Rattus norvegicus: one gene and its partners. The protein of the gene in region 1 interacts with the protein of each later gene in a biochemical or structural test. Links are inferred from orthologs where the notes say so. Each region holds a gene or a part of one and is shown in the gene's direction. Other genes may lie near its edges. The genes, in order: Cdk9, Ccnt2, Gtf2f1, Supt5h and Ctdp1.

Region 1 (4,513 bases):
TTATCCAGCCTGTGTAAGGTCAGCAGACCTCAAACACACTAACAATGAGGCATGACAAACTCTAGAGCCAGCCTTATCATAGTGTGACCAGGAGCAGACAACCTCTGATTTCTGATCTGAGATTTCTTCTGTAAAATGGGTTCATATTTTTTTTCTGTAAAACCCAGTTCACATGTTTGTTTCAGAATGTCCAGCAGATATCTCTCTCTCTCTCTCTCTCTCTCTGTTATTATTTCCTGGTTGTCCTAGAACTCACTCTGGAGATCAGGCTAGCCTCGAACTCAGAGATCCACCTGCCTCTGCTAAGTGCTGGGATTAAAGAGGTGCGCCATCACTACCCAGCTCATGCCCAGCATTTCAAAAACGCGCAGGAGTGCCTGTTCAATTTTAACCATTTTTGGGATGATTGACGCAGGACAGACCAGCTTAGCCGCAGCTCTGTGAAGGAAGGCAGTAGATCCATCCTTGCCTTCCTGACCACACAGGATCCAGGGTTTAGGCCTGAGCGTCGCCGCGCCCCCTGGCGGCCGTCAGTTGCCATGTCAACGGCGGGTGGCTGAGACGGCGGAGGCGGCAGCGGGGGCAGTTCTCTCTTCCCCGGGCCTCAGGCCGCTCCCTCGGCACCTCCTGCCTTCGCCTCACTGGGAGCACACTCCCAGCCCTGGAAGAAGGGCCCTTCTGTGGCAGCTGGCATTAGGGGGGTAAACTGAGGCACGCAGCAGGGCGCCGCAGGCAGGTGTCTAGTGCGGAGCCCCACCTCCAAACGCAGAGGAGGGGCTGCTAGCAGTGACGCGCCGAGGGCGGACGCTGGACTGGGAGCGGGAGGGCGGGAGGCGGCGGCGGCAGGTGCGGCCGCGGAGGGTGGGAGGAGGAGGGAGGGGGCGGGAGGGGGAGGGGAGGCCAGGACGGGGACCTCCCCCTTTATAACGCGCCCCCTCCCGGGCTCTCGGGCCGCCTCCTCGTCTGCTCTTGCTATCTCGCCCCCTTTCCTGGCCGCCCCGGGCCGGGTTTGGCCAGGGAGCCCCCGCCCCCAGGCCTTCCCCACACCCCCACCCGTCGCCCCGCGCAGCCCGGCGGAGGCGGCGCCGTCGGAGGAGGAGGAGCAGGGCACTGCGGCTGGCCCCGGATCGGGAGCCAGAGCGGCAGCAGCTTCGGCAGCAGCACGGCCCGGGCCAATGCAGCGGGACGCACCGCCACGAGCCCCAGCCCCAGCGCCACGGCTCCCTGCGCCCCCGATCGGGGCCGCCAACAGCACTAGCGGCGGCGGCGCAGGCGGGGGCAGTGGCGGCGGCGGAGGCTCCTCTGCAGCTCCGGCTCCCCCTGGCCTCCCGGGAACTACAAGTCCCAGGGGGCCTGGCGGCGGGCGGAGACCGGAAGAGGCGGGCTCGGCACCTCGAGGCCGGAAGTGGCCTTGGAGGCGGAAGTGGCGCGGCCGCGGAGGGGCCTGGAGTGTGGCGGGACCGGGAGCGGCGGGAGCTGCGGCTGGGGGCGGCGGCGGCGGCGGCGGCGGCGGCGGCGCGCTGGAGGCGGCCATGGCCAAGCAGTACGACTCAGTGGAATGCCCGTTTTGCGATGAGGTCACCAAGTACGAGAAACTTGCCAAGATCGGCCAAGGCACATTCGGGTAAGATTAGGCCGCGTGGGACCGGTAGCCCAGGACCTGCACTTTCCATGGCCTATATCGGGTCGTTCAGGGCCGGGGCCCGAGGTGGTACGGAAGCTTCTATTTCCTTGATTGTTGCCTGGTCTTGCTAGGCCGCGCCGCAGACGCTCCCGGCCTAACCGAGCGGACTGGCAGGGAGGAGCCTGAGGCCCGTGATGGGGGTTGGGTAGGGTTGCTGAGAGGAACTCAGTTTGTGAGCGGACACCTCTGGGGGGAGGAGTGGGAGCCGAGTAGGAGTAAGAGCAGGGGCTGGGAGAAGGACAGAAAACACGTGGTGTGGAATAACAGCTTACAGGAGTCCCGGGCCGCACCCCACCGTGTGTCTGGTCTCCCGCTGCTCCTCTTCGCGTGGGGGAGGGGCGGTCCCTGCGGAAATGCCTGATGGGTCCCTCGGGTCTTTGTGTTGCAGGGAAGTATTTAAAGCCAAGCACCGTCAGACCGGCCAGAAGGTGGCTCTGAAGAAAGTGTTGATGGAGAATGAGAAGGAGGGGGTGAGTATATGGACCACTGGGCAGTTCTTCTAACCTGTGCTCGGTTTCCACACTGCTACTTAAAAGGGTTTTGTGCTGAGATTCCACCCAAGTATTTTTCGATTTTCCGTGTGACAAGACATTTGGCTTTCCACTTAGACTTTTGAGTTTTTGTGGCAAAGTTCGGTGGGAGGCAAGTGAGGGAGCCTGTGCTTTGCGTGAAAGTGCACGTTGCCTCTAGAAGTGGGGTTTTTGAAAACTTCCAGCTTAGCGTCGAATTTTGTTTTGTACGAAGGGACAATTTGTGCACAGGCAATTTAAAAGGCAGCTTAGCTTAAGGCGTGTTTTGAAGCATGATGTCCCCGTCTTAGCTTTAGTACAGCGTTTTCTTTGTAAGGAAAAAGCTGTTTGACTATTTCCTGTCTATGCGTGTCTTGTTTTCTGGTGTGGCTGTGTACAGCATGCCTGTCTGGTACCTGGGCACCTGAGGAGACCATGCTAGGCTGCCTTGGATCACTTGGGACTAGAATTAAAAAGATCCACCATGTAGAGGCTGGGATTGAACCTAGGTCCTCCGGAAGAACAGCCAGTGTTGTATGTGTGTGTGCATGCATATGTGTATGTCTCCCTGAAATAGGGACTCAACATAAGACTTGTTTAATACAAAAATCTCTCAGTATCCCAGCTGTTCTCAGACTCGCAGAGGGTCAACTGCCTGTGCCCGGAGTGCTGGGAATAAAGGCTTGGGCTGCCACTCTTAGCCAGGACTGGTTTGCTTAACTATTCATCTATCTCTGGACCCAGGGAATTTCTTGATTTTAACCCACAAGCATTAGTGCCAAAGATTTTGTCCCTATTTGAGTTGTCTAAAATAAATTCCTGGCCCAGCGTAGAGGGCTATGATTGTAGTTCCAGCATTTACGAGGCCAAAGAAAAAGGATGGTTCACAAGTCCAAAGCCGCCATTGTCTAGATGGCAAAATCTAGCAGCTCCTTGAGTGAGATGTGTGTGTCCTTTCACTTACCTTCTGCTTTACAGAGACTGGTTGCAGATAAATATATTTATTTTCCCCTCAAGCAAGAGCTCAACTAACCAGACTGGCCTTGAACTTGGGACAGTTCTACTCTCTATTTGACTCCTGATAGTAGGATTGGATTCCAGACAGGAACCGTCTGTCACACAAAAACTATACTCTTACCTGCCTTTCAACCTCTGTCCCTCAGTATAGATCACACACACACACACACACACACACACACACACACACACACACACTTTTACTTCATGGGTCTGTTGCTCTCAATTTTGACCACTTCCTCTCTTTCTCCTCCCTAGTTCCCCATCACAGCCTTGCGGGAAATCAAGATTCTACAGCTCCTAAAGCACGAGAATGTGGTCAACCTGATTGAGATTTGTCGAACCAAAGGTACGATGCTCGTTCTCGGGATAAAATGAACCTTAAACCTTTGCTTGCACTCCTGAGGTAAATGTGCTTAATGCCTCCTCCTGACTTGACTTGATCACACAGCTTCCCGATCTGTTTTGTTTTGAGACAGGGTTGCCCTGTGTAGCCCTGGCTGTCCTTGACCTTGCTCCATAGACCAGGCTAGCCTCACACTGCCTCTGCCTCCCTAGTGCTAGGGCTAAAGGCATGCACCACCAGTGACTGACCACCAGCTTCTCCGGGCTTTCTCCGATGGAGTTGGGTGTTTGTGGATTGGAGGGCTGGGAGTTGGCTGTGGAAAATGAGGTGGGTGCAGGTTTTTTATTTTCCCTCCCACCCTCTCTCCCTATTCTGCACCAGCTTCACCCTATAACCGCTGCAAAGGCAGCATCTATCTGGTGTTCGACTTCTGTGAGCATGACCTCGCTGGGCTGCTGAGCAATGTCTTAGTGAAGTTCACGTTGTCTGAGATCAAGAGAGTAATGCAGATGCTGCTGAATGGCCTCTACTACATCCACAGGAACAAGGTGAGGCCTGGGGCCGGGACAGACTGGGGCTTCTTTGCTCTTCACTGCCTTGTGGGTGGGTCTCTGGGATACTATGAGACCTGACCGAGCTCTCATGCGTCCTCCCTGCAGATCCTGCACAGGGACATGAAGGCTGCCAACGTGCTCATTACCCGAGATGGGGTCCTAAAGCTGGCAGATTTTGGGCTGGCTCGCGCCTTCAGCCTAGCTAAGAATAGCCAGCCCAACCGATACACCAACCGTGTGGTGACATTGTGGTACCGACCTCCGGAGCTCCTGCTCGGTGAGGACTCCCGAGCGGGCAGAGGGGGGCAGGGGCCGGGTACTTACCTGGCCACAGCCCCCGTTGCCGGGGGCCTCTTTAGCCATCAGCCTTGGGACCTGGAGTCTCAGGAGGCCCTCGGGCTTA
Region 2 (4,640 bases), on another chromosome or scaffold:
TGACAAATGAAAGCCTCAAGTTTAAATCAGAAACACACTAGCCCTTTTATTTTTGCTTTTAGGAGTTTTTTTTTTTAAATAGGGTTATTTTCTTTACATTTGTTTACTTTGCATGAGTGTGTACATACATGTGTGTCACTGAGCACATGTGAAGGTTAGAGGACAATTTGTAGCATTTGGTTCTTTCCCTCTACCATATGGGCAGTGGTGACTGAACGGATGGCAGCAAGTGCCTTTAGCCAGTTGGCCATCTCAACAGCCTTCACTGACTTTTTAGAAACAAACAAACAAACAGTTTTTGCTACCTTATTACAGTCTTCAGAAAATACTTAAAAACTAAAGTGTAATTTGGTCATATACAATAGGCATTAACTCGGAGGTAGATAACATGTAGCCAAGATGAGTGGCGCTTCCTTACAAAAAGATGGAATTAAATCATCAGCTACTTTATAAAATCCTAAACAAATTTTTCCCTAGTTGGCTTCTCTTGCACTCAGTTGGTACTGTTGGCCTACTATGCCTGAGGCCCTCGGTTGCAAACTGAGCACTTCAACCAAGATGTCGTACACCAGCCTATAATCCCTGCACTGTTTCTGGACAACCTGTGTTACTACGTTCTGCTTCTCCCCAACTGTCCCCAAATCCAACTCGCAGAAACCACACAGAGGTTTAAAACCATACACCCCATCTGGATGGACGATCTAGAGAGTCATGACCTCGAATTATTAACTTTTATAATGTTGGACAAGTAACTTGATAAGAAAGATATCCGCAGAGTGATGCCACCAACCTGTAATCCCAGCACTTCCGAGGGGGAGGCAAGAGGATTGTAAATTCAAGCTCATCCTTGGTTAAAAGAGTGAATTCAAAGCCAGCCTGGGACACATGACACATTGTTTTTAAAATAACCCATACTCCTTGAATGGCTTTAGGTTTAAAGTAACGTTTTAAAGGCGCATGCCCCCAACATCTACTAGCGATGTTTGAAAAAACACAGAAGACACTTAAGTGTTGATCATTGTTAGAATTAGCGTTCTTTCTTTCCAGTCTTTCCTAGCTAACTCCTCCCAGAGCCGACCTCCCGATACGAGGCCATTCGTGGGCACAGGGGTCAACACAGCTAAGAAAATACACCCACAAACATTTAAGAAAATGGAGGCTACCGCATGAAGCCGAAACTATAAAAGCCTTTTCTGACTTTAATGCACCCACGAACTCACAGACCAAAAACATTAAACGTTGAGTTGAAGGATAACGCCCAGGCCCTATTGGGCAGTCGCGTGACCTCTTCCTTGTCCGCCCCGCCCCTCCTCCTTAGCCCCCTCCCAGACCCAGCATGCACCGCGTCGACCTTTTATTTTTCGAGCGACCCCCTACTTTACGGCGCCTCCCAATGACAACAGGCGCGGAGCATTGTGGTCCCGCGAGCCAGAGAGACACAGAGGAGGGAGGCCGGAAAGAGAAAGCAAAAGACCAGTGCGAGCCGGCCGGGCCGGTCCCTGCGCGTGCGCATGGGTAGCAGCAGGCCCGGAAAAGGCGTGGCCCACTCTACGGAGAGCGCATTGGGGCGGGGCCTCAATGCATTGGCGCGGAGTCCCGGAGGCAGGCGGGGAGGGGGCGGGCTAAGGGTGCGGGCGGAGGAGGAAGTGTCATGGCGTCGGGCCGTGGAGCTTCTTCTCGCTGGTTCTTTACTCGAGAACAGCTGGAGAACACGCCGAGCCGCCGCTGCGGAGTGGAAGCGGATGAAGAGCTGTCGCATCGCCAGCAGGCGGCCAACCTCATCCAGGACATGGGGCAACGTCTTAATGTGTATCCTTTTCCTAGTTGCGGCCCTGCGTCCCACACGCCCCGGTCGCGCTCGCCGGGTGACCGGGCCTAGTGTCCCGGTAACATGGCGCCGTTCTCTCTCTGCGGTCTTTTGATCTCGGCAGAGAAACACAAAAAGCTAGGGCCCCAGCTGCGGCGGAGAGCCCAAGGAAGAGGAGATGTGCCGGGGAAGGCGGGCCGGGAGCCCGCGTTGTGTAACCTGTGTCGGGAAGCGCGTGATGCGGTAGGGAATAGCAGTGCTTCCCTGGCGAGAGAGGAATCCGGGATGAGCGAAGCCAAGGGGCGGCCCTTCCACTTCTTCAGAAGTCAGAAAAGGCCTTGAGACGTAGAAAGGTCCCAGATGTTTCACGGAAAGTGTTTTTCAAGGCTTCCTTGCCGGCTCCAGGGCGGCTCTGTTGCGCGGTGGGAACGCATAGAGATGTTTCATGTTCTTCGGGTGTGCGGCGCGCGCCTTTCGACTACTTTATTTCTACTGTACTAAGCTGTAGCCATTGCAAGTAACTCCTGGGCTCTTTCTACGTAGCGTATTAGAATAATTTGGCATTTGGCCTGATTTCTCTTCTCCCCGCAGACTTCTTACATTCAAGTTGAGAATAGGATTTTGTGTAAATGGAAAGGGGTTTTCCATTCAAATTAATTTAGTTTTTGCCCAGTTTATTTTCTAAACGTTGCATCCCAGCTCTCAGCTTACAATAAACACTGCGATTGTTTATATGCACAGGTTTTATATGCACCATTCTTTCACCAAATTCAACAGAAATGTAAGTACTGCTTTATTGTTTTAGTCGTCGAATGTTAAAATGAGTAGATACTGCAGAAACAAGTTGGTTGATCGTTGTTTTTACTATTAAATTGAATGTTCTGAGTTTTCCATAAGTGTGAGTTATGTAATAAACGTTTTGCCTCAAATGCAGAGGTGTGTGTGAGAGAGAGAATTTTATTAAACTGTAAGGCACAGAGTAAGCCTTTTGTTGTTGGATTTTGGTTTTTCTTTTTTCTTTTTTTTTTTTTTTTTGTGGTGGTGGGTGGTGGTTTGTTTTGAGACAGGGTCTCGCTGTGTGGGTCTGACTGTCCTGGACCTAAATATGTAGAGCAGGTTGGCCTTGAACTCAAAAGAGACACCTAGCTACCTCTTGTCTCACACTTGGGATTAAGGAATGTGCACCAAGCCTGACGGAGAAACAAGCGTGTTTTATTAATTTAAACTTTGCAGGTGGGGTGATTTATATTAGAATAATTTCAGTAATCACAACAGAATAATTTGGCCAAATCTAGTCATTGGAGAAGATACATTTAATTGTATAGGATTCGTTGTTTCAAATGTTAAGAATTGAGACTTGGGTAGTTACATTGCTTAGAAGTAATACTTTGAAAAGGCTACTGTTTAGAGAAATCCTGCAGTGAGGTTAATTACTGTGTGAAGAGGTTGTCAAGCAGCTTTGCTTTTGTCCCCTTACGCCAGTGTCAGCACTCCCAACTCACCACTCAAATACTGTGTTCGCTTTTGTTGAAGGAAGCCTGTCAGACAGTCTTTTCTGGTCTTGAATATAACATGTACATCTTGACATCTGGGTAGTTATTTTAATAAATAAATTAGTTTGTTTACTCTGAGACTGTATCACCGTGCAATGCAAGATGGCCTCAAATTCTTGCCTGCCTCAGCCCTCCTTGAGTGCTGGCCTGTGCACCATACATGACTTCTAACTGTTTTAAAGCTATCAAAATTACTCAGAATAACATGTAATACATTTTTTAGTCCCCATTCTCATATTACTTATAAATTTTAGCCCCATTAATTTTTCACTTCTTTATTATTTGCCTTGTAGTAGAATTTTGGTAGTGTTATTCTGAAAGGTACATTAGGAAAATAGGCCACGTAAGGACTTAACTTCTTTGTGGATAGTTTGTGGAATTCAGCCTCTCATTGCTAAGCAAACAAGTTTAGAAAAGTTTGTTACATTGTTGCCTTTGAAGTGGCAGAAATTGTATGGTTTAGATTATTAATTTCTGCTTTAAGTTCAACTGATCTTAAGTCTAACCTGGTTTATCAAGTTTGCAAATTGCTTTTTTTTTTTTTTTTTTTTTTTGGACAGTGGAGTTTTCTTTATAACTGGGCTTTTGCAGTCCCTCTTCTGTTCTCTTTTCATCTTTTTTGAGTCATGCTCTTTCCCGATTAATTTGTATCACTCTTAGATCAATTTTGGTGCTGTAGAGAAGAAAAGAACCTACTGTTTATAATGCTTATGCTAAGAGAATCAAGTTTTTATTTCAGTTCTCTAAAAGTAGCAATGAATTAGCCAGCACTAAATAAACTTGGCTTTTTCAAATAGCCCCAAATAATGCTGGTAAAAACTACAAAACTCTTTATAGAGCTGTAGATGTCCTATTTTTGTGAATGGGTTTGTTTTTCTATTTTCAGTAAAAGGTCTTTTTCTATTTTAACCACAGGTCTTGCTTTTTGAGCCCTTCCTTTATTTGTTTTTGTGGCCTGGTTTGTATGCTTTAAGCAAACATCCTTCCCAGTGGTAGAATCTGTCTCTTCAAATTTGCCTAGTTAGTCCAGGTCACCCGGTTCTTGCTTCACCACTGTGCTTATTGCCTTAAGCATATGAAGGAGTACTTGAACACTTTGTCTTTCCTGGCCGGATAATTGAAATGTCTGTTTGGGGAAGCAGCAGCATCCCTCCTACCTCAGACGTCTTTCTTGCTTCTGTTTTTGTTGCTTAAAGGTGATTTCAAATACTCAAATTTCAAGTACCACGTACTTGTATCAGTAGTCCTCCCCACACACCTGATCTTTTAGTGATGTTAGT
Region 3 (3,740 bases), on another chromosome or scaffold:
ACTGGACCTGGGGCTTGCTGACCTGTGAGTCCCAGGGACCCTGCTGTCTACACCGTTCTCCTGGGGTCGCAGATGCACACTTCCATACCCAGCTTTGTCTGTGGTACTGGGGGTCTGGACTCCCGATCCTTATGCTTGCAAGGCAGCTACGTTATCCACTGAGGCGTCTCCACCGCCCTCTCCCTGGGCAGAGCAGGTGCTCATATCCCTGCCCTCATGCCGCATGCGGGTGTGCTGGGGCACGTGAGGCCTGGCACAGCGCGACAGGAGAGTATCCCTGCTCCTGCTTCCCTCCAGGCACGGCTGGAGCGAGATCTGAGCAACAAGAAGATCTACCAGGAAGAGGAGATGCCAGAGTCTGGTGCAGGAAGTGAATTCAACCGCAAGCTCAGGGAGGAGGCTCGCCGGAAGAAGTATGGCATCGTCCTGAAGGAGTTCCGGCCTGAGGACCAGCCCTGGCTACTCCGTGTCAATGGCAAATCGGGGAGGAAGTGAGTGGTGCTGATGGTGGGGAGTTCCAGCTTGTGTCCCTCACACACGCATGCTTAGGAGACATTGTCCTCAAGTCTGTTCCCAACAGGATGGGGGCCCAGGACCACCTCTCTTGTCAAAGTTTAATCTTAAACTGGAGACTGTTGGCCTGGCTCAATAGCCTGACTGTGACCTGGAGAGCACCTTGACACTTGGGATGGTGGAGCCTGAGAAAGCCAGTGACCAGTACTCTATGCATAGTTACTCAGTGGACTGATAGCTGGAGCCTGCATGCTGTAGGGCCCCACAGTAGCCATGGTGGGTTATAGGCTGGGAGCAGCTGTGAGGATGGTGGCCACAAGGTGGCAGAGTGGTACTTGGTTAAGGAGGTGGTGGCCCATGCCTTTCTGTCCTGTCATTCCTAGAAGAGCCCAGATGGGTACTGTAAGGGGGTGGATGGAGTGCAGGCAGGCCCTGTGGGTGAGGTCCTGACCTAACTGAGGCTCTCTGCAGGTTCAAGGGCATCAAGAAAGGCGGGGTAACAGAGAACACGGCCTACTACATCTTCACACAGTGTGCGGATGGCGCCTTCGAGGCCTTCCCTGTGCAGAACTGGTACAATTTCACACCGCTGGCCCGACACCGCACACTGACTGCTGAGGAAGCTGAGGAGGAATGGGAGAGGTGAGGCAGAAGTGGTGGTTATAATGTGTATGCCCTTGGAGCAAGCCTGCCTGGAGCAGGAAGCAGTGCTTCCTTTGGCAGGCCTGGGAGCTGAGTGAAGGCTAGTACCACAGATAGGCACAGCCTGGGGGTCAGGGAGGCGCCTCTTCATGGCAACCGCCTCAGTTCTAGCTTGGGAGGTAGAAACAAAGATGGGTACAGGGAAGCTGGGATAGAGAAACTCAGTGGACAGCATAAGATGTCGTGTACACCTGCTGAGGGTGGGCCCTGTGTGTCCAGAGAGGGCTGTTGGAATTGATGTGGTCCATGGGGTTGCTCTGTGCTTGCCTACAAGCCTGGAATAGTGCCGGTTCTCAAGGGCTGGGATTGAAATGTCAAAAGCAGCTCCTCCTACTATGCTTAGCCTTATTCTGGGCACACATAGGTTCATGGACAGCTCCTTGTCCAATGAGACCCTACTCTATGTAATCCTTGAGATAAATTAATGATGGGGGTATGGGTGGGGGTAGTGTGAGTGCACACCTCAGCACACAGATGGCAGAAGCAAGAGAATCAGGAGTTCAAGTCCATCTTCTGCTGTATTAAATTTGAGGCCAGCTGTGGTTATACAAGATTTGGTTTCAAAACACCCAGAACTCCAGACACAGTGGTACACGCCTTCTATCTCAGCAAAACACCCAGAGCTCCAGACACAGTGGTGCACACCTTTTATCTCAGCACTTTGGTACACAGGCAACAGGCTCTCTGAGTTTGAGGACTGGTGTATATTCCAAGTTCCATGCCAGCTAAGATCACACAATAAGATCCTGTTTTAAAGGAATTTTAATTGGGCCAAGCCTGATGGTGTACACCTTTAACCCAGCACTCTAGGATGCATTGGCATGAGTATCTCTGTGAGTTCAAGGCCAGCCTGGTCAACATAGTGAGTTCCAAGATAGCCAGGACAGTAGAGATCCTATCTCACAAAACCACAAAACAAAACAAAACAACCCTCCCCAACCCTCCCCTCCCAGGAAAAAGCATAAAAAATTATTTAGCTAACCAATATGATGGCTGGATATGCCTGGAACAGACCCTGAGTCTGGAGGAGCTAAGATGTGGGGTTCCCAGAGGGCTCAAGTGCACGTGGGCCTGAGGCCATTTCAGGGCTCACCCTATATTATTTCAAGATCCGGGGGTCTGAAATGGCCCATGCTGCATGCCCTGCCCCTCCCCCCCTCTGTTGCATGTGGTGTGGCTCAGGTTAACACCCTACAGGGTCTTTCTGCTTTAGCTTCCTCACAGTGTGCGCGCCTTAACGAGGTTACCCCGTCATGCCCATTGTCCCTGAAAAGGACGGTGCCCATCTGAGTGTCCTGGTCATTATCTTCCACCAGCCTCTGCTGCACAACGTACTCAGTCACTTGTCCCCATGTGTAGGAGGAACAAGGTCCTGAACCACTTCAGCATCATGCAGCAGCGGCGACTCAAGGACCAGGACCAGGATGAAGATGAGGAGGAGAAGGAGAAGCGCAGCCGTAAGAAGCCTAGTGAACTGCGCATTCATGACCTGGAAGATGACCTGGAAATGTCATCCGATGCCAGTGATGCCAGTGGAGAAGAGGGTGAGTGGGGACCCAGAGGTCTTCAAGACAAGGCCATGCTGAGTTAACACCACCTGGGAAGTCATGGCGCAGAGTTACTGAGGAAATGAATGGCACCTTACAGACTTTCCATGGGACCAGTTTGTTTAAATGTTCAAGGTTGCTGTGCCGCAGGCCACATGGGCCTGGTTGATTATAGGGATAGGGCTTTTGGTGACTGAATGGCAGAACAAGTAGAGTGGGCTGAGGACAGTGCACAGGAGGGGTAAGCCTTCCACTTTCTCTAAGAATTGGCTCAACCCGAGTGCAGTCTCCCTGTCAAGATAACACACAAAAAAGACATGGTGTGCTTGCTGTGATCCCAGAACTCAGGTCTGAGGCGAGAGAATTCCGACCCTATCTTTTTTTTTTTTTTTTTAAGATTTATTTATTTTTATGTTTGAGTCCACTGTAGCTGTCTTCAGACAAACAGAAGAGGGCATCAGATCCCATTACAGATGGTTGTGAGCCACCATGTGGTTGCTGGGAATTGAACTCAGGACCTCAGGAAGAGCAGTCAGTGCTCTTAACGTCTGACCCACAGCTCCAGCCCACTGATCCTATCTTTGAAACACGACGGTGGTAGCACTGTCTTTAATCCCAGCACTCAGAGGCGGAGGGTAGTAGATCTCTGTGAGTTCAAGGTAGTCTACAGAGCACGTTCCAGGACAGCCACAGATAGAGAAGCCCTGTCTACAAAAACAAAAATAAACAAAAGCTCCCCAAACCCCACACAACACAACACAAGTAGGGGTCACAGGGGTCACATATCAGATAACTTGCATATTAGATATTTACTTTTTTTTTTTTCTGGAGCTGGGGACCGAACCCAGGGCCTTGCGCTTGCTAGGCAAGCGCTCTACCACTGAGCTAAATCCCCAACCCCCTATATTAGATATTTACAATTCATAACAGTAGCAAAGTACAGTTACGAACAGCACTAAAAATAACGTTATGGTTGGG
Region 4 (3,908 bases), on another chromosome or scaffold:
GAGGAGGAGTGCGCTTTGGAAGCGGATGCCCAGCCAACCCTGCACTGTTCCCTCAGGGAAGGAGCGAGAGCACAATTTCCAGCCTGGTGACAATGTGGAGGTGTGTGAGGGTGAGCTCATCAACCTGCAGGGCAAGGTCCTCAGCGTGGATGGCAACAAGATCACCATCATGCCCAAACATGAGGACCTCAAGGTGAGGCCACAGGCCTGACCGTGTTTGGTCATGGCACGTTGTATGGAAGATGTTCAGGCAGTGTTTTCTGTCCTTACAGAGGACATGTTTGACCTTTTTTGACTCCGTGTGCTAACGGGTCTGCTGAGAGTATTTAGGCCTACTTTCTGTGATTAGGGAAGCAGGTTGAAGCAGTTGAAGTCTCAGGCCTGATTCTGCCTGTCTGTAGGGGACTGTGTGGGTTCATGCTATGTCCTGGGCTCTGTCCTGTGTATAGGGAAGACAGTGTCATAGTGACACGCGTATGTGCGGGTGTTTAAAGGAGAGGAAGAATGCATCCAAGGGACACCTCCCTCACCCTTCTTTGGTGCATGTGTGTGGTACTCAGGATGGAGCCCAGGGCTTTGTGCATGCTCTATAAGTGCCCTACCCCTTAGCCTCACCCCCAACCCCTGCTGATGACTCCTAGGCATGTGTTAGACCACTGAGCTACACCATCAACCCCTCACTAGTATCATCCAGGCAGGGGCTCACCACTGAGCCAGGCCCCAGTCCCTCACTGGTGACGTCTTCCACTGAGTCCCCCTTTTTGTTTTTTACATTGACTTGTTTTGCATGTGCACATGCCACAGCATACGCATGGAGGTCAGCGTCTGTTCCCTCCTTCACCAGTCTTTGCTCAGGATTGAACTCATGCTGACAGACTTGTCCTAAGTTCCCTTACCACTGAACCATTTTGCTGGTCACCTTTGCCTTTTTTTTTTTTTCCTTCCTTTTTTGGAATCAGGATCTCCCTATGTAGCACTGGCTGAACTGGAACCCACCATGTAGGTCAAGCTGGCCTTAAATTCATAGAGATCCGCCTGCTTCTGCCTCCCAAATGCTGTGGTTAAAGGCATTTGGCACTGTGCCTGACTTCCTTTTACTTACAGAAAAAATGTTTTTCTTAAATTCCTGTGTATGTATATGAGGAAGAAGGGCAGGATTTAGAGCTTGGGTTATCAGCTTTGGCAAAATGCTGAGCCCTCTCACTGGTTCTGTTGACTTTTTTTTTTCCTTTTTTTTCGGAGCTGGGGACCGAACCCAGGGCCTTGTGCTCGCTAGGCAAGCGCTCTACCACTGAGCTAAATCCCCAACCCCTCTGTTGACTTTTGAGTCAGGAACTTGCTAAATTATTCAGGCTATCCTTGAACTTGTGGTCCTTCTGCCTCATCCTTTCTAGTAGCTGGAATGATCAGCTTGTGACCAATAGATCCCTATTATGTGATGTTTCCTGATGTCTTGGTTAGGGCTTTACTGCTGTGAACAGACACCATGACCAACACAACTCTTATAAGGACAACATTTAGTTGGGGCTGGCTTACAGGTTCAGAGGTTCAGTCCATTATCATCAAGGCAGGAACATGGAAGCATCCAGGCAGGCCTGGTGCAGGAGGAGCTGAGAGTTCTACATCTTCATCTGAAGGCTGCTAGAAGACTGGCTCCCAGGCAGCTAAGACAAGGAAGGGTCTTAAAGTCCACGCCCGGGGCTGGGGATTTAGCTCAGTGGTAGAGCGCTTGCCTAGGAAGCCCAAGGCCCTGGGTTCGGTCCCCAGCTCCGAAAAAAAGAACCAGAAAAAAAAAGTCCACGCCCACAGTGACACACCTACTCTGACAAGGCCACACTTCCTAACGGTGCCATACAATAGACCAAGCACGTACAAACCATCACACCTGATATGTTGTCGAGTGGCTGTCTTAGAGTCTGTCATGAGATAATAACATGGTTTGTCTTTTTTTTTTTTTTTTTTTCTGGTTCTTTTTTTCGGAGCTGGGGATTGAACCCAGGGCCTTGCGCTTCCTAGGCAAGCGCTCTACCACTGAGCTAAATCCCCAGCCCCATGGTTTGTCTTTTGTTGTTTCTGAAGAGCAAACAGGAGTAACCTGAGGTCATAGCATGCCTTCAGTCATTGTGTGTGTGTGTGTGTGTGTGTGTGTGTGTGTGTGTGTGTGTGTGTGTGTGTGTACGTGTGCGCGCGCATGTATGTATGATGAGTTATTGGTGCCAGTATTCAGTGTCTTGGGCTAGGGAATGGAAGACTGTTGCAAGCGAGGTCCATGTATCTGAGGACAAGTTGTCTGTGGGTTCAGGCATGTGCATATGGCTCATGGGTTGGTCATCTTTGGGGTAAAAGGTCTCCCTGCCTGGGGCAGCTCCCTGAGAAGTGTCTCGGGTGGGTGGTAGGAAAGCTGCAGTGTCTCTTCTGTGATTGAGGGGATGCAAGGTGGGCCCAGTGATGATGGCTTTTCTTGAGTACTTACTGTTCCCATGGCCAAATTTCCCAGGACATGCTTGAGTTCCCAGCTCAGGAACTTCGGAAGTACTTCAAGATGGGAGACCATGTAAAAGTGATTGCTGGCCGATTTGAGGGTGACACAGGTCTCATCGTGCGGGTGGAAGAGAACTTTGTTATTCTTTTCTCAGACCTCACCATGCACGAGGTAAGTGCTTGGAAGAGCGTGGGATAGGCATTGGGTACTAAGCGGATGCTCCAGTGGGTAATTCCCTGGGGCCTGCCTCGCTCCTTCCCTCCTTCCCCTGTCTCTCCACAGTTGAAAGTGCTTCCCCGGGATCTGCAGCTCTGCTCAGAGACAGCCTCAGGTGTGGATGTTGGGGGCCAGCATGAGTGGGGTGAGCTGGTGCAGTTGGATCCCCGGACTGTAGGTGTCATCGTGCGGCTGGAGCGAGAGACCTTCCAGGTGTGTCTTACGTTACGCTCCTATCCCAAGAGCATGTCCTTGGAGGTAGTAGAGCAACGTAGTGGCCAAGCCCACAAAGTGCACTGAGTAGCAGGCCTGGGAAGGCTCCCTGAAGCCTGTTTGTGTAATGTTGGCAAGTGGCCTGTCATTTTTCCTGCCTGCCTCAATTGTCACACCTCATTGTAAAGTATGCTCCAGTTTTTGGAGCTTTTGAAAAGATGGAGTGCTGGGTTGGGGATTTAGCTCAGTGGTAGAGCGCTTGCCTAACAAGCACAAGGCCCTGGGTTCGGTCCCCAGCTCCGAAAAAAAGAAAAGAAAAAAAAGAAAAAAAAGAAAAAAAAGGAAAAAAAAAAAAGAAAAGATGGAGTGCTACGGTTGCCACAGTTCTGCCCTCCCCCACTTCCCACCCCCATGTGTACATTAGCATAGTACCTAGGACCCTGAATCTGTGTCAGCTTTGTTGCTTCTGTACTGTGTAAAGTAGGACTTGTGATTGTATTCCTCTCAGGGAAGTGTGTGAAGAGTTTAGGAGGGGTGGGTAATCAGTGGGCTCCTCCTCTTATGCCCCTGATGCTCAGTCAGGAAGGCAGAGTCCCCTCCTAAAGCATTCCCTGCCTTCCCCTCCCCGGCTGAGGATGACCTTGAACTCTCCATTCTCCCGCTTCCCCTGAGTGCTGAGATCAGTGCATTTACCAGTCTATGTGGTGCTGACAATCAAACCCAGCTTCATGCATACTCAGACAGCACTGTGAACTGAGCTACACCCCAACTTCTCATAGAGTCTTTTGGAATAATCTAGAATGTCTGTGGCTGACCTAGGGACTGGTGGGTGGTGCTGTGACTTTGCCTCATGGTCAGGATGCTACGTAGGACTCAGGATCTTAGGGTTGTCTCCCCCAAGGAAAGAACAGCTCACTTTACATCACCCTCCCTTCTCATCCTCTGCATCCTTCTCCCTCCAAAGGTTCTCAACATGCATGGGAAAGTGGTGACTGTA
Region 5 (3,908 bases), on another chromosome or scaffold:
GAGAAGAAGCTTTTTTCTCATCGAATATTATCTAGAGATGAATGTATTGACCCGTTTTCTAAAACAGGAAACCTTAGGTAAGTACTTGGCTGAATTTCCATGGAGACAACTTACTACTCACTTTCCTCTTTAAAAATGGAATTTTGAGAAGTAGCGTAATAGTTCTGTGATTAACATTTTCTACGAATGTAACCTCCAACTTTCAGCATAACCCGTAGAGTACTCAGACAGGTCGTTTCTAGATTAGACCCTGCATTGCATTCCTCCCACGTGGGTCCTGTTCCTGCTCTGGATGCTTGGGCCCTGCCTCTGCTAATGTCCTGTCGCTGTAATAAGACACCATGACGGAAACAACTTATAAAAGAAAGAATTTAATTAGGGGCTTGCTCACAGTTTCAGAGTGTGAGTCTGTCATTGTAGGGAGCATATGGAAATGTGAGCCTATGGGGTCCATTCTCATTCAGAGCACCACAGGCCCCGAGAGAACCCAACCCTTTCTGTGTCCTCCTGTCCTGTTCCCTATTCCAGGCCATATTGATCTGAAACTACCTTTGTGTGGTTCAGAAGAGGCGCGATGGTCGTCTTCCCCACACATGCTGGGTGTTAGCTTCTCTCCACCTCAGCCATTGCCTTCCATGTCGCCCTTTACCAGCTGGCCTCAGAGATTAGGCCTCAGGGTAGAGCTCACTGCTGCAGAGGTGAAGCACTGACCACACAGGTGAAGGTTTAGGGCTGAGAAGGCAAAGTAGCCTAGAGAAGGAAGGCGCAGGCCAGAGAAGGTGCGGGGCCTGTAGGATGCACACAGCATTGTGAGCACAGCAGCTGCCAGAAGGTCCCGTTTTCGTTCCACACAACTTTCTGGGTTGAAAGATGAGGACACCAGTGCCAGCCTCTCAGAGTTACAGTTTCCTAGGAATTTGCCTGGTGTACATTCCTCTAGTGAATAACACCCAATAAACAGCCAAACTTGCTTTATCTTTGCTGTTTCCCATCTTCCTTTTTTGTCATCTGTCTGTTTTCTGTCTTTCTCTAAGCTCTGTGACCGGGCTTGCTCTTCCTCAGTCCTGCTTGGGAAGCAGCCCTATGTCTGAAATTTGTCATTTTGCACAAGATGTGTCCCATTCCTACCAGTAGAGAGCTGTGTCCACCGTTCTCATGTGTCAAGTGGCATTTGTTTCTATAGTGTGTTTCTCTTAAGACCTGGACCATAGCAGTTCTGTATAGCAGTGAACGGGGTGTGGATGTACAGACATCTTCCTTTGAAGTTTCATTTTTAGATTAAGAGATCCATGGAGATTTGAAAATTGTGCACGTTATTATTAACTAGAAGAATACTATTGCTAGATAGTATAGAGGGAGCAAACTGGGGGCAAAGCAAGGCAGGAGGTAGCATTGGTGCTTCCTCAGTGCAAAGCTGTCTGAGGGCTGGGTGATAGAGTCTACTGGAAGCACTGCGCAGGAATAGACTCCCTGTGCTGTGCTCAGGGTCAGCCGAGGTCCACTGTAAGGGTGCCCGGTGAGCACTTGGCCTTTGCGCTGTTTGTTATTATGTTTATTAATGTGGTCTGACCCAATTGTTTATAAAAACTGAGTTTTCAGGGCTGTGTTCTGACCTGTGACTGAAATATTTACCCATTTTTTAAAGTTTTGTTAAGGAGAATCAAGCAATGGAGAAAAATATTTTAATTTTACTTTCTCTGGAAAACAATAAATTACAAACATATGAAAGCCCCCTGTTATAGCGTGCTTCCTTTTACGGACTCTGCTCTCTGCTCTTCATAGATAGCTGAAAGTCCTCGATTGTTCTTTTTAGCAGAATAAAAGATTATTGTAACTGGCAAACCACTTTCTGTGTAAACTGTATGTGTTTGCTCATAGAAATCTCTTTCCCTGTGGAGATTCAATGGTTTGCATCATTGATGACCGAGAGGATGTGTGGAAGTTCGCCCCTAACCTTATAACTGTGAAGAAGTATGTCTATTTCCCAGGCACAGGTGATGTGAACGCACCCCCTGGGGCCCGGGAATCTCAGACAAGGAAAAAAGGTGGGTGAAAATAGCATTTTGGTAAATGTCTATCTTTTATTTTTAATCTCTGTAATGGAATATTCACTTCATTCTGTTTTGCTTCTTATTTGTATTTCAACTTTCCTGAAGCAGTTGGGTTTCCGTAATGAGAAGTAGGATATTTAAAAATCATATCGGGGCTGGTGCTGTATCTGTGTCTACCACAATCAGTCCCTGGTGCTGGAGGGGAAGGGGGGGGGAGTGGTGGGAGACGCCACACTGGTCTGAGTGTGATGCCACCGCATTCCATCCCGGGAGTTTGGATTGTACACCCATGGAGGGAGGGAGGAAGGTGTGTGTGAGATACAGGTGGGGTGCAGTGGTTCCCCTGTAAGAACCAGCAGATTCTTAGAAAACAGCCGGGACTCAGTCTATGTTGCCTGCGTGAAAACTGCAGGGAATCGAGTCTGAGGCACACAGGAGCCAGAGGTTGTCTGAAGGAAATTACATTTCTCTCTATGGAGCTTTTAAGACGTAGTCTGTCTATGTAGCACAGGCCCTTCCTTCAGCCTCCCAACTATGGGGGTACAGGTGTGCACCACCAAGTTCAGTTTGCAAGTTTTGGTTTTAAGTTTTTATGGTGAACTGAAATAGAATGTTTAGAGGCATATATTGCTTCTGTAGGCACTGAAGTAGACAACGAGGGTAAACTTTTCATAGATGAGGACATTGCCTCGGATCACCCGCCCATATAGGCTGCAAAGGCAGAAGGTCTGTTCATGGCCACAGACATGAGCTGGTTATTGTCAGCTCTTAGATCAGAAATTTCCCTAGGCCTGAGCCAGAGAGGACAGACAGTTCAGACTGTCCTGGAGAAGGGTGAGGTTTAGGTTCAAAAGTTATTTACCATTAAATAACCGTAACTTTTCCTTTTGTATGTATATTTAGTAAATCATTCTTCCAAAGGAGCGGACATCTTGGAACAAGCTCTGCCAGTCAAGGACCCTGAGGAAGGCAAACCTCCTGGGGTGGAACAGAGCAATGGCCTTGGGAAGGCCTCCCGGGAGCTCAATGGTGGTGAGGCTGTGCCAGGAGTTTTTTCCAGTAAAACAGATGAGAAGGAAACCTGGTCCCTCACCCGTGCCTCTCCTGCCAGCAGCTCTGGTGGCCGAGAGCTGACAGAAGCTCCAGAGCTCCCTGTGTCTTGTGAGTGGGACAGTCGGACAGCACCAGGAGCGCACCCTACTCAGGGAGATGCCACCCAAGGTTTGGACTTCGACCTGTCCAGTGACAGTGAGAGCAGTGAGAGCAGCAGGTCAGAAGGCCAGAAGTCCTTCTCCTCTGCTTCCGATGGGGAGAATGAGGAGAGGAGACGCAGAAAGAAGTCTCCAGCCACCCAGGATAGAACAAAAGTTCCACAGCACAGTGGGCCCCATGACACGAGTGGGGGGAGGTCTGCAGCAAGCCCCTCGGGAGAGTCTGGGCCTCTCCACCCACATGACAAAGTGTCCGACCCAGATACTCAGGAGGAGGGTGAGCGAGACAGCCTCTGTGGCCTGGGCAACGGCAGTGTGGACCGGAAGGAGGCTGAGACAGAGTCACAGAACAGTGAACAGTCAGGTGTCACTGCAGGCGAGTCCCTAGACCAGAGTGTTGGGGAGGAAGAGGAAGAGGACACAGATGACGATGACCACTTGATACACCTCGAGGAGATCCTAGTGCGAGTACACACTGACTATTACACAAAATATGACAGATACCTCAACAAGGAGCTTGAGGAAGCTCCAGATATACGGAAAATTGTGCCAGAGCTCAAGAGCAAGGTGCTAGCAGATGTGGCCGTCATTTTCAGTGGGCTGCACCCAACAAACTTTCCTGTGGAGAAGACTCGTGAGCACTATC

The links.
Region 2: the proteins of Cdk9 (region 1) and Ccnt2 form a complex in vitro, tested with the Homo sapiens proteins (4 studies listed by BioGRID, with this or other methods). The link is inferred for Rattus norvegicus from reciprocal best matches to the Homo sapiens genes CDK9 and CCNT2.
Region 3: the proteins of Cdk9 (region 1) and Gtf2f1 form a complex in vitro, tested with the Homo sapiens proteins (2 studies listed by BioGRID, with this or other methods). The link is inferred for Rattus norvegicus from reciprocal best matches to the Homo sapiens genes CDK9 and GTF2F1.
Region 4: of the proteins of Cdk9 (region 1) and Supt5h, one has a biochemical effect on the other in vitro, tested with the Homo sapiens proteins (4 studies listed by BioGRID, with this or other methods). The link is inferred for Rattus norvegicus from reciprocal best matches to the Homo sapiens genes CDK9 and SUPT5H.
Region 5: of the proteins of Cdk9 (region 1) and Ctdp1, one has a biochemical effect on the other in vitro, tested with the Homo sapiens proteins (3 studies listed by BioGRID). The link is inferred for Rattus norvegicus from reciprocal best matches to the Homo sapiens genes CDK9 and CTDP1.

Annotation. Positions count from the first base shown.
Region 1 is NC_086021.1:36,395,992-36,400,504, reverse strand, and holds the start of Cdk9 (cyclin-dependent kinase 9), read left to right. Parts: upstream 1-1,488; 5' UTR 1,489-1,532; coding exon 1,533-1,624; intron 1,625-2,072; coding exon 2,073-2,154; intron 2,155-3,468; coding exon 3,469-3,559; intron 3,560-3,937; coding exon 3,938-4,104; intron 4,105-4,215; coding exon 4,216-4,387; intron 4,388-4,513. UniProt on the Homo sapiens protein: Protein kinase involved in the regulation of transcription.
Region 2 is NC_086031.1:41,802,430-41,807,069, forward strand, and holds the start of Ccnt2 (cyclin-T2), read left to right. Parts: upstream 1-1,616; 5' UTR 1,617-1,651; coding exon 1,652-1,809; intron 1,810-2,506; coding exon 2,507-2,588; intron 2,589-4,640. UniProt on the Homo sapiens protein: Regulatory subunit of the cyclin-dependent kinase pair (CDK9/cyclin T) complex, also called positive transcription elongation factor B (P-TEFB), which is proposed to facilitate the transition from abortive to production elongation by phosphorylating the CTD (carboxy-terminal domain) of the large subunit of RNA polymerase II (RNAP II).
Region 3 is NC_086027.1:1,933,593-1,937,332, reverse strand, and holds part of Gtf2f1 (general transcription factor IIF subunit 1), read left to right. Parts: intron 1-297; coding exon 298-491; intron 492-984; coding exon 985-1,155; intron 1,156-2,574; coding exon 2,575-2,759; intron 2,760-3,740. UniProt on the Homo sapiens protein: TFIIF is a general transcription initiation factor that binds to RNA polymerase II and helps to recruit it to the initiation complex in collaboration with TFIIB. It promotes transcription elongation.
Region 4 is NC_086019.1:92,720,210-92,724,117, reverse strand, and holds part of Supt5h (transcription elongation factor SPT5), read left to right. Parts: intron 1-56; coding exon 57-193; intron 194-2,497; coding exon 2,498-2,653; intron 2,654-2,764; coding exon 2,765-2,911; intron 2,912-3,875; coding exon 3,876-3,908. UniProt on the Homo sapiens protein: Component of the DRB sensitivity-inducing factor complex (DSIF complex), which regulates mRNA processing and transcription elongation by RNA polymerase II.
Region 5 is NC_086036.1:76,169,641-76,173,548, reverse strand, and holds part of Ctdp1 (RNA polymerase II subunit A C-terminal domain phosphatase), read left to right. Parts: coding exon 1-77; intron 78-1,878; coding exon 1,879-2,045; intron 2,046-2,954; coding exon 2,955-3,908. UniProt on the Homo sapiens protein: Processively dephosphorylates 'Ser-2' and 'Ser-5' of the heptad repeats YSPTSPS in the C-terminal domain of the largest RNA polymerase II subunit. This promotes the activity of RNA polymerase II.